3 linked regions of the Yarrowia lipolytica genome follow. The protein of the gene in region 1 interacts with the protein of each later gene in a pairwise test. Links are inferred from orthologs where the notes say so. Each region holds a gene or a part of one and is shown in the gene's direction. Other genes may lie near its edges.

Region 1 (4,047 bases):
AGAACCTTCAAAACCTTCTCGTCAAAAGACGCCTCAAGCTTCATAAACAGAAGAGCATTGACAATTGCAACAAGAGCATAAAGCTGGTTGTTTCTGACAGCAATATCTCCCTGCTCCTCCTTCACCTTCCCCGTCCAATGAGTCAGAACATCGTAGTACTGATCAGGGAACATTTTAGCAATGAGATCAGAAACATAGGGCAGGAAACCAGGGTCTCTCCACTTACTAGACTTGGCCATCTCATCCACCCAGATGATGATGAAGTCATACATGTTGCTGTTGAGCTGGTATCCCGTAGCCATACCTCGCATCACCGACTTCGTGTACTCGTTATCAGGACCATCAGAGATATCCTTGGCCAAAGACACCGAAGTAGCTGTAAGTGAAGGATCTTGTCGCACCAAAGCAGCAATCAGACGCCAATCTCGTTCATTGTTCACCTGCCAATCCAATGCAAAGGCCTCTCTCGTAGGCACAGCCTCGTTGAAAAGCCTCACCAAAATGCTCTTTTCCACCTTGTAGCCCATCTCTGTACACTGATCCAGCAGCTCCACAGTGTACTGCTTGGCATTCTGGATTAGACCACTGACCAGAGGCACAACCAGATCCTTCTCACCAGTGGTTCCAGGCATAGTAGCAGCCACCTTTTCTCCCAGTCTGATAATGTGGGCATAGCCTCGAACAGGAGCCTCAGTGGAGAAGCTCAACACCTCAAAAGTAGTGAAGGCATACAGACCAGTGATGGGGAAGTGTTCGGGATCAAACAGGAATTTGGTGACCAGATAATCGATGAAATGTGCCAGGTCCTTGTTTAGATCCTCCCCGTCCAATAGATAGAAAATGTAGGGAAGATACGATCCAACCTCTCGACACTTCTTCTGCATATCCTGACTTCCCTGAGAAGACCGCTCCAAAAAGTTGAGGATCATTTGAGTCCATGAAGACACTCCAGCAATGTGTCCCACAGGCAGCCCGGTCTTCTGAAAGTTTGTAAGGGTCTTGAGGTAGTCTCCTGCGATTTCGACAGCGGCACTCTCTGTAAACTGCACGGCTAACGACCGAGACACCTTGTTGACGGCTGTGGTGATCTCGTCCAGCAGCTGAACGGAGCAGCCCTCAATGTTTTCCTTGATGGCTAGACTGACGATCTCTGTGAACTTGCTGTTTCTGTAGATTCGTTCTCTTGGCATGGCCAGATCCTTGGCCATGTCTTCCCACACAGTGATGAATAGCGTCCAGAATGCCGGGTCTGCTCGAGCCTCCTTGGCAGAGTCGGTCTTCTCGCTTATTTTGTCCATCCACCATTGCAAAACTGCGCACAACCGATGGGGAAAGTAGACGTTGAGGTTTCCGGCTACAATTTCGTTTGCAAACGGCAGAATCTGCACCAGAGGCACGCCCTTGCGTCGCAGATGACGCGATATCGATGCTGTAGTCTGTGTTAGCGGTGGATCTCGAGTCAATTTAGCCGGTGTACTCACTTCCATATCAGCCATGTTGTTGTTATCTGGGTCTGGTGTTGGGTGCACGAAATTTCCTACTCTGCATACAGGAATTTATTAGGCTCTGGAGCTTAAATAAATATTTTCAGGGTGGGTGCATTAAGCAGATTGTAAATGGGACTTCAAAAAAATAATACCACTACACATATCGAAACTACACACAACAAAATGAAATCACTGGAAGAGCTAGAGGACGCCACCGAAGGAGTCATGGTGGACATTGACGAGCATATGGAGGACTCCATGGACGTGGACTCTTCTGATGACGAGGTGCCGGATAAGGACGAGGAGGAGCTGGAGCTGGAGAAGGCCGTCTTTGGAGATCTAGAGGGCTTTGAGATGGGTATCAAGAACATTGCGCTTGAAGAGGCAGAGGAGGAGGATTCCGACGATTCCCATGATTCGGATGACGAGAATGATTTTAACAAGATGGAGGACAACCAGTTGTTCTTTGTTGATGGAGGAGACGGGCAAAAGTACCACTCTGATGACGACTCTGACGACGATTCCGACTCGTCCATGGACTCAGATACCCTCGATGAGACTCTAGAAGAGCACGGAGGACGTGCCGCATGGGCCGACTCGGACGACGAGAACGTGCACATTTCGCTGGTGGGAGATCACGATGGTATGCTCAAGAAGCTGCGAAAGACGCAGACCCAGGACTACGTTAACGGCAAGGTGTTTTCGCGACGGCTGAGAGAACAGTATAGAAAGATCTACCGGGTCCCCGACTGGGCTGCTAATGCATTCAAGGCCAAGGCCAAGAAGGACTACGATGAGGACGACTCTGAGGGGTCCGATGAGGAGGAGCAGGACGTGCTTACAGGCACTTCTCTGAGCGAGGTGCTTCAGCGAGTCACCCAGTACTCCAACAAGGAGTCCAAACTGCTTCGACACGGCGAAATAGAGGTTGCTCGACTTCAGGACGTTAACTTTGCTGCTCCTTCTCGAGCTGCCGTGGAGGGTCTCGCTTTCCACCCCACACATTCTCTGCTTCTGACTGGAGGTTTCGACAAGACTCTGCGACTATACCAGGTGGATGGCAAGAACAACCCTGTTGTCACCACGCTCTTCATGAGACATACTCCCTTTGCTCACGTGGCCTTCCACCCCGACGGCCAGAGAGTGTATGCTGGTGGCCGAAAGCAGAAGCATCTGTACATCTGGAATGCTGAGAGTGGAAAGGTGGAGCGAATGGCACATCTGTACGGCCATGGTGACAAGGTGCGATGTTTTGCGCAGTTCAAGCTCTCACCAGACGGAAAGTACCTTTGTGTAGTTGGAGTGGACGGCTGGCTGGCCATTCTGTCGGCTACCTCTGGACAGTGGATCGACGGCTGTAAGATTGAGGGCGACGTTGCCGACTTTGTGTGGGACGGTGGCTCCATTATTGCTGTCAACACCGCTGGACAGGTGTGGGAATACAACGTGGAAAGCCGTTCTTTCACAGCTACTTGGACCGACGAGGGAGGAGTTGGCATCACGGTGCTGGCTATCGGCGGCAAGGCTAACCAGTGGCTGGCTATCGGCTCCGAGTCCGGCTACGTCAACGTCTACAACCGACCCAAACTTGCATTGGAGATTGCTAAGGGCCAAAGCCCCTTTGTGCCCCAGAAACCCACTGCGGTTCTCTCTAACCTAACCACCCCCGTTTCGTCGCTAGTCTTCTCTCCCGACGGACAGATGCTTGCCATGGCCTCCGACCAGAAGCGAGACTCTCTCAAGCTGGTCCATGTTCCTTCGTTCACCGTGTTCAAGAACTGGCCCACTCAACATACTTCTGTGGGAGTTGTCACCAGCGTGGCCTTCTCCCCCAGCTGCGAGTACCTGACTGTAGGTGCCACCAACGGCAGAGTCCGAATGTTCCAGCTCGCCCACTACAAGCTTTAATAGTATAGATGCATATTAGAAGATGTTTATAAGAGAATCTGAGTAGAAGGGTAAGTGTATATACTGGGTCTAGTTGGGGAGCGACTGAGTACTTTTTACCTACATTTCGAAGTAATTTAGTAAACATTAGTTGCACAGTCCGTTTAAAAACTCTATCTAACTTAAGCTCATCTATCGAAATATTTTTGCCCGACATGTACCTTAAAATTATTCTGCCAAAAAGTATACCTACGCATTTCATACTCATACACCACTTACAAAAATGACTACCCCCGACCTGGAGGATAAGTCCTTCGACTCGTTCGGCCTTGATGACAGACTGTTGTCCGGCCTGGCTGCCTGCGACATGAAGCAGCCCACTCTCATTCAGAACACAACCATTCCTCTGGCTCTGGACAAGGGCGTGGATATCACAGCCAAGGCCGTCACTGGTAGTGGCAAGACGGTGGCCTACTTGCTGCCCATCTTCGAGCTGATGCTGAGAGCTGAGAAAGAGAAACGGGATATCCAGACTGCTCTGATTGTGGTTCCCACGCGAGAGTTGTGTGAGCAGGTGTCCAAGGTGATCACCAAGCTGACCCAATTTTGCCCCCATCTCAAGTCTCTCAACGTGACTCAGCAGCTCGGAGACGACGTTATTTCTTCTCTGTTG
Region 2 (3,546 bases), on another chromosome or scaffold:
GGCCAGGATAGCAGAAAGCGCCGGAGTGGTAAGCTTTTTAGCAACGTCTACACCTGCCAAACTGACAGACGCCACGATCTGGGCTGCCTGGGTGCTCAGACGGTTTGTGGGGTCCTTGAGCTTGTCCATGCAGTCAGTTTCAACGTTTGTGAGGTACTCATCCAGCTGTGACTGGTCTCCGTGCTTCTGCAGCTCTTCTGCGAGACGTTTTAGAACAGTAAGGGTCTTTCCTGCCAGCTCAGGTTCGCTTCCATGCAAAACCTCGAATTTGGTTCCGTCCCAGATGTCCTTCCAATTTTCGGCGGTGATTTCCGGACCGTAGTTGGCGATACATGCTGCAATGGTGTCCAGAGTGTCTCCCTTGACCGATAACGACGACGAGGTGAGTTTTTCCAGCAGTGCGGGGAAGATGAGTTTGGAGTACTGTTTTCCGGCCGCCAGAGCGGTTCTGAGCGCCACCTTTAGCTGATCAGCTGTGATCTTGTAGGGGTCATTTTTGGGGGGTCTAAAGGTGATGGGGAAGTAGCAGAAGGTGGCGTCAAACTGCGGCTCCACGTCGTTTTCAGGCACAGTCAGGTTGTTGCTGATCCACTCGTTGATAGCAAAGGACTCCAGCAGGTTTCGGGGGTCCTTCTCGCCGTTGGTGCAGGTCAGGAAACACTTGATGAAGCCTTCCTGGGCTGAAGCAGTGCTTTTGAGCGACTGGCTCTTATTCTCAGTCAAGTATCGGAGTAGAACGTAGGCCTTGTATCTGACCACCTGCACATGTGAAGAGGGCAGGTAGTAGCCGACGAGGCTGTCCACGATTTTTTTGACGCTCAGAGAGCTGATGGCCGACATGGTGACCACGGCGTTCATGCCGTCGAGAACCTGGCCCGTGACGGGCTCGTCGGCCAGACGTTCGCTGAGAAACTCGCAGATGACAGTGAGTTGCTGCTTGGTCAGTTTGTCAGTAGGCAGATCTTTGAGCACGTCAGAGATGCATTGGATGGCGGTCTGTCGGGTTTTGGCAGACTCGTCAACGAGGTATTCTCCGAGCAGCTGCACGAGATCGACCAGTTTAGCCTGGTCCGTGGTGATCACTGTGTTAGCATGAAGCGGTAGTTGTAGGGAAGGAAGAGACGGGGCATAGTGGGAGGAGATGATGATCAAGATACGAGGGTAGGGCACCAGAGAGACGATATTACCACTTGCCACTGGAAGGCACCCAAACAGGCGCCGAACAGACACCAAACAGGCACCGAACAGACACCAAACAGACACCCAAACCAACCCAGTCAATCCATGGACCGGTCTAGATCACCTCAGATCATATCTTACCCCGCATGACTCAGATAACAGCTGAACCACAACTTCCCGACCATAAAGAAAGAAGAAAAGCAACCAAAGCACATGTTTCCCTGTCAACGGTTCATCCTTCATCGACTTAGCCCATCTCTATCAAATCTCGATCATCTTCTGGTCTAGACCTAGATGGATCATAAGGCAGAGAACACACCACCACCACTACCACCACCGCCACCGCCACATCTGCGGCGAAAAAGCCGCGGCAACAACATCCAGAATTATAAACACGTGTCCAAAAGTCGATTCCCATTCCTTCTTCCCTCCTACCACTATCCAGTCTCTATCTCCGTCGGGTCGTGGATCTATAGTCCATCACACCTTTGTCGCACACTCCCTCCACCGTAAACTCCAAGCTGGATACTCACAATCAGCGATACCTGCGGCGTTGCCCGTAGCGGCCATGTATTGGTTGACCAAGGCGTCCATGATCAAAGTGGCACACTGTATGTCGTTTTCGAGGGTCTTGTTCAGGTCGGACTGCCTCTGTTCCTGGTGACAATCTCCATTTTTCTTACTCACAGAAGAGTCTATGTGAAATAAGGTTTGCCACACTCCTCCCAATACCCATCCTCATACACCCACCCACCCATCAACGACTGTGAATTGTCTCTGTCTCCATCGACACATTTTCCTCATTCCTCATTCGTCTAAAGACTCATCATGGACGTGGATTCCGATATCGCCGCCGAGTCGGTGGCCCGAGTGTACGCGGACGTGAACAACCTGATGCCGCCATCGTACTGGGACTACGACAAGCTGGCGCTCAAATGGGGTCAGCAGGACAACTACGAAATCATCAAGAAAATCGGCCGAGGCAAATACTCGGAGGTGTTTGAGGGCATCAACATTGTGTCCAAAGAGCTGGTGGTGATCAAGGCGCTCAAGCCCGTCAAGCGCAAGAAGATCAAGCGAGAAGTCAAGATTCTGCAAAATCTCGCAGGAGGACCCAACATCATCTCGCTGCTGGAAACGGTGCGAGACCCGCAGAGCAAAATGCCGGCCTTCATCTTCGAACACGTGCAGAACCTCGACTTCCGGGCGCTGTACCCCAAATTCACAGACTATGACATTCGCTACTACATGTACGAGCTGCTAAAGGCCATCGACTACAGCCACTCCAAGGGCATCATGCACCGGGACGTGAAGCCACACAATGTCATGATTGACCACGAGAAGCGCAAGCTGCGCCTCATTGACTGGGGCTTGGCCGAGTTCTACCACGCGGGCACCGAATACAACGTCAGAGTGGCCTCGCGGTACTTCAAGGGACCCGAGCTGCTGGTCGACTTCCAGCTCTACGACTACTCCTTGGACCTGTGGTCCTACGGCGCCATGTTTGCCTCCATGATTTTCAAAAAGGAGCCTTTCTTCCATGGTACCTCCAACACGGACCAGCTGGTGAAAATCGCACGGGTGCTGGGAACAGAAAAGCTCTGGGACTATCTGGAAAAGTACAATATTGAGCTCGGAGCCGAGTACGACGACATTGGAACCTACCCCGCCCGACCCTGGAGCAAGTTTGTCAACGTGGACAACGAGGCCTACATTAGCCAAGAAGCGATACATTTACTGGATAACCTGCTGAGATACGACCATCAGGAGAGACTGACTGCCAAGGAGGCCATGGCGCACGATTACTTCAAGCCCGTCAGAGTTAGAGAAGAGGGCGAGCAGGAATAGATGGCGAGCAGGAATAGATGACGAGCAGCTCTATTGGGTCGTCTACCAACGGCCGCGAGCGAGCAAAGGTGAGACACATGGGCCCCCCCATCGATTCGCCAACCAGTCTTGAGCGCGTGTATTAATGAGCTAACTTGCACTACACGCGCTTGCTAAGCTATGACTCAGTGACTTCCAGTGACTCCAACATTTCTGTCACCACTGGACCAAACATTAATTCAACTCATGCTCAAAGAGACAGTCATTGAAGGGTGTATATCGGTACTTTAATAAAAGGAATATTCTTAGACAATGTAGGCGACTGTAAAGAGGCTGAGCAGAAACTTATCGTCATGACAGTTTGTTGACAACTTTGCAGTCATTATGGCCGAGGGTAAATAGGTGGTTGACGACGTCTGAAGACAATGTGAAGTTTCACAGTTGAGCGAGAGGTCAACATCGTGAACTAAGAGTATGCTCTAGCCCATCTCAGAGCTGAGCGCAGGGTGGCTTCTAGCTGGGGAGAAGCAGGATGATGAG
Region 3 (3,737 bases), about 2.0 Mb from region 1:
ATGCACTCGTAAAGTACCAGGACCAGAAAACATATGTACAAGTACTGTACCAGTACGAGTACGAGCGAGTACTTGCCTCCGCATCAGGAAACTTAGGAGCTGGAACAGAGCCCCCATAATTTGCCACGATGCGTGATATTTCTACCTCATTATTACATAGAAGAATGTCACACGCCTCAGGTCATCACTGTATCATGAGCGCCAGCAGTTAAGGGCGCCTCTCCAGCAATGGTTTTTAGGTTGTTATTTGTCAATCTCCTCCGCCTCCCCCTATTGCCACGACGTGCAAGCATCTCGATTCGGACATCAGAAGAAACGGAGTTTGTTTGGAGAAAAAAAGTGCTGGGGGAAAAGTATATATATGTGTTTCGGTTTGCGACCGGGTAACCGAAATTTTCTCTGCCTCACAAATTATGCGTACCCTACTACCAATTCTCCCAACAGTCATTGCCGACTGTCTGGGCATAGTGTACCCAATGATGTCCAAATCGGGAAATAAACCCTTAACCTATTCATCAGCATGCCCATATTGTAAATCTCACGAGAACAGTTGTGTCAGTCCACCGCAAAATGTCCTCCCTCGACAACCAGCTCTCTGCGTTTAAAAACAAGATCAAATCGGCGCCTACGATCAAGAAGCCGTCGTTTGTGGCTAAACGCAAGGAGGAGGAGGAGGGTGTTGGTGGTCAACAAAAGAAGCGTAAGGTGGTTCCGCCCGTGAACCCCTTCAATGAGAACGTTGGCCGCCACGCTGCTACACAGTTGATGCATGCTGTGGAGTACATCAAAAAGCAGGTTGGTGTTGTTCCGATCGAGAACATTCGATCATACCTGTCGCTGCAAAGCGCTGATTTCTTGGTGCCCCTATTGAAGAAGATGGACCAGATGTCCTACAACGCTGTCCAGAGGGGATTTGAGTACATGCCCAAATTCAATATCCGTACCAAGGCACAGCTCATGGCATTTCTTAAGTCTCAACCTACAGCCAAGGGTCTCAGCGTGCGCGATCTTAAGGACGGCTGGGCCGATTGTCTAGACAGTATCGAAGAGCTTGAGCAGAGCGGAGATCTGATTGTTCTCCGTACCAAGAAGGAGAACTCACCAAGAATGATGTGGGCTAATATGGGTGGGCCAATCGGCATGGTTGATGGAGAGTTCCGGTCAATGTGGTCACAGATCAAGGTCCCCGATGAGTCCGAGTTGCCGTCGAAGTTGGAAGAGGCTGGCCTCAAGCCTACATCTGTGGATCCTGCCACTATCAAGAGCAACAAGGCCAACGGGAATGGTTCAAAGAAACAAAAGAAGCCCCGTCGAAGCAAGATCACAAACACACATCTGGATGGTGTCCTCAAGGATTACGGCAGATAGTTGGTCCGTACCTGAATATTCAAGGTCGCGCAGTTAAATAGGCATCCAATTGGTGCCATCATATTATTTTATTACATTCATATAGCATAAGGAATCTTCCTGTATTTACGATCAAGGGTTGACACTGCGTGCACATTGTACAATAGATACTAAGACCAACACAACTGGACGTACAGTATGTAAGATTGAAATACCATTGTGAGAGAGTTTGTTTTTTCTCGAAAATGAGGAAGTGAACTAAGTCCTGATTCAATGAACTTGCCTTTTCTCTACGGCATAACAATAAGTTACCGACACGTACCTACCGTATGTGTTATTTATTGCGATGTCATGCTTAATCAGCACACATGGTTAAATACAAAATAGAGTTCAGTTGTTCTGCAGGATGGTAGAAATTTTGGAACTCTAGAAAATATATTTCCAACCACTTCACAAGCATCAGGATGTCCGACCAAGTACGATTCTACCTAGAACAGAGCATTCCTGAGCTCGAAGACCTTGAACAGCGAGGACTCTTCACCAAAAAAGAGATTGCTCAGCTTGTGCGTAAGCGAACCGATTTCGAGCACAGAATCACCGGAAGACAGTCTCGGCCTCGAGATTTTTTGCGGTATGCCCACTTTGAAATAAATCTGGAGGCTCTTCGGATGAAGCGGATTGCTAGACTCGGAAACAATCCTGCTGCCAAGCTCAAGAAAAACAGAAACAGAAACATGCCTACCCCTACAAACATCTCCGACTATGCCGGCCGAAGGCGAATCAATTTCGTGTTCGACCGAGGAACCAAGAAATTCGCAGGCGATGCTGACCTGTGGAAGCAGCACATCGCTTTCCTGAAGCATTACAAAATGATGGCGAAGCTGTCGACTGTCCATACTAACATGCTCAAGCTCTTCCCCAACCGGGCTGACATCTGGATCATGGTAGCCAAGCATGAGTTTGATGAGAACTCTGCAGCACAGACAGCACGATCTGTCTTCCAGAGAGGTCTGAGATTCAACCCCGAGAGCAAAAAGCTTTGGCTAGAATACACCAAGCTGGAGCTGTTGTATGTGTCTAAGATCCTGACTCGACGAAAGCTCCTTGGAATCCTTGCTGATAGAGACAAGCAGCGAGAGGCTGAGGAAGTAAAGGAAGTTGACGATGAAAACGTCATTGCCCTTCCTGAGCTTGATGGTGACGATGACATCAAGGCTGAACTCAAGACTCTTCCTGAGGCTGATATTGACATGCTCGGTAACCCCTCCACCAACCCTGCCCTTCGAGGTGATGTTGCTCTTGCAATCTTCGACTCTGCTCTCGAGACTATCCCTAGGTACTCTTCAGAGATCAACACTGGTCTCAAGAATGACGATGGATCTTTTACAGTCGCTCTTGCACCTCATTTTGCATTCCTGCTGTCTTTCTCACGACAGTTCCTCGAGCTCTTTGACGAGTTTGAGGATATGGACCGAGAGTACCTTTGTGCACATGTCATCCAGGCTGTCATGCAACAAATCAACAACGACATTGGGTCCGCATCCCTGAAGCTCACCGAGAGTGCTATCGCAGATATTGCTCGGTTGGTGGTGGATGACATCACCCTCTCAGTGCGGTACTTGTCCCCTCTTGATGCTTCCTTCCCTGAGGCCTTCAAGCTGGCTCTGAACAAGTACAATGTCGCCATGTCTAAGACCTGGAAGAAAAAGGGATCGGAGAGACAACAGCAAGTCCGTAAGCAAATTGCGTCACAGTTCAAGGAGAAGCTGGCGGACTACCTTACAGCTGGCAAGTCTGTTGATAGAGAGATCGACGAGAACCTCAAGCGAGCGCTTAAGGCCGTCATCAAGAAGACCGAGGACGATATGTAAGCATCTTTAATATATATTTACACACACGCAAACTGCATCTGTATATAAGTAGCTATATTTAGAATATTTTGATATGTTTGGTATATTTGGTATATTTGGTATATTTACTGTTCTATATCATGTTTAGTCCTTCTTGCTGCTTCCCCAGTCAGCAAAACGAGGAAGGGGAGTTCCGAAGTTCTCTGATCGCAGTTTTCGTGGGAAAATCACGCCCTGAAAAACAACGGTCACAATAGCTGCAGTAGCGATCATGGTTGCAGCACACCACATGAGCGTGGTGGAAGAGAAAGCGGAGTTGGAGTCAGGGTTGGCAGGGAGGGTAAACACCTCGTTATTGTTGCTACCGGGATACCACTTAACAGAGAGCTGGAGGGGCAGAAAATCACCGTTCTTGTATCTCTCGGTCTCCGTTCCTCTGGAAAACGCGGCTGCTACCACAGGCGTCTCGGTCTTTCGCGAGTACATCATCACGGCATTGAGCTTCGGGTCGATGTCCAAATGAGACTCCTGAATGTGGCC

Evidence for each region.
Region 2: the proteins of YALI1_F39108g (region 1) and YALI1_D20768g interact in binary tests that used the Saccharomyces cerevisiae proteins (3 or more experiments, as listed by UniProt). The link is inferred for Yarrowia lipolytica from reciprocal best matches to the Saccharomyces cerevisiae genes UTP18 and CKA1.
Region 3: the proteins of YALI1_F39108g (region 1) and YALI1_F19192g interact in binary tests that used the Saccharomyces cerevisiae proteins (3 or more experiments, as listed by UniProt). The link is inferred for Yarrowia lipolytica from reciprocal best matches to the Saccharomyces cerevisiae genes UTP18 and UTP6.

The regions. Positions count from the first base shown.
Region 1 is NC_090775.1:3,909,184-3,913,230, forward strand, and holds YALI1_F39108g (uncharacterized protein), read left to right. Parts: upstream 1-1,616; coding exon 1,617-3,395; downstream 3,396-4,047. Other genes in the region: YALI1_F39106g (uncharacterized protein), read right to left, coding at 1-1,496; YALI1_F39128g (uncharacterized protein), read left to right, coding at 3,658-4,047. UniProt on the Saccharomyces cerevisiae protein: Involved in nucleolar processing of pre-18S ribosomal RNA and ribosome assembly.
Region 2 is NC_090773.1:2,074,784-2,078,329, forward strand, and holds YALI1_D20768g (uncharacterized protein), read left to right. Parts: upstream 1-2,007; coding exon 2,008-3,027; downstream 3,028-3,546. Other genes in the region: YALI1_D20758g (uncharacterized protein), read right to left, coding at 1-1,082, 1,713-1,773; YALI1_D20784g (uncharacterized protein), read right to left, coding at 3,473-3,546.
Region 3 is NC_090775.1:1,917,484-1,921,220, forward strand, and holds YALI1_F19192g (uncharacterized protein), read left to right. Parts: upstream 1-1,811; coding exon 1,812-3,218; downstream 3,219-3,737. Other genes in the region: YALI1_F19180g (uncharacterized protein), read left to right, coding at 571-1,368; YALI1_F19216g (uncharacterized protein), read right to left, coding at 3,342-3,737.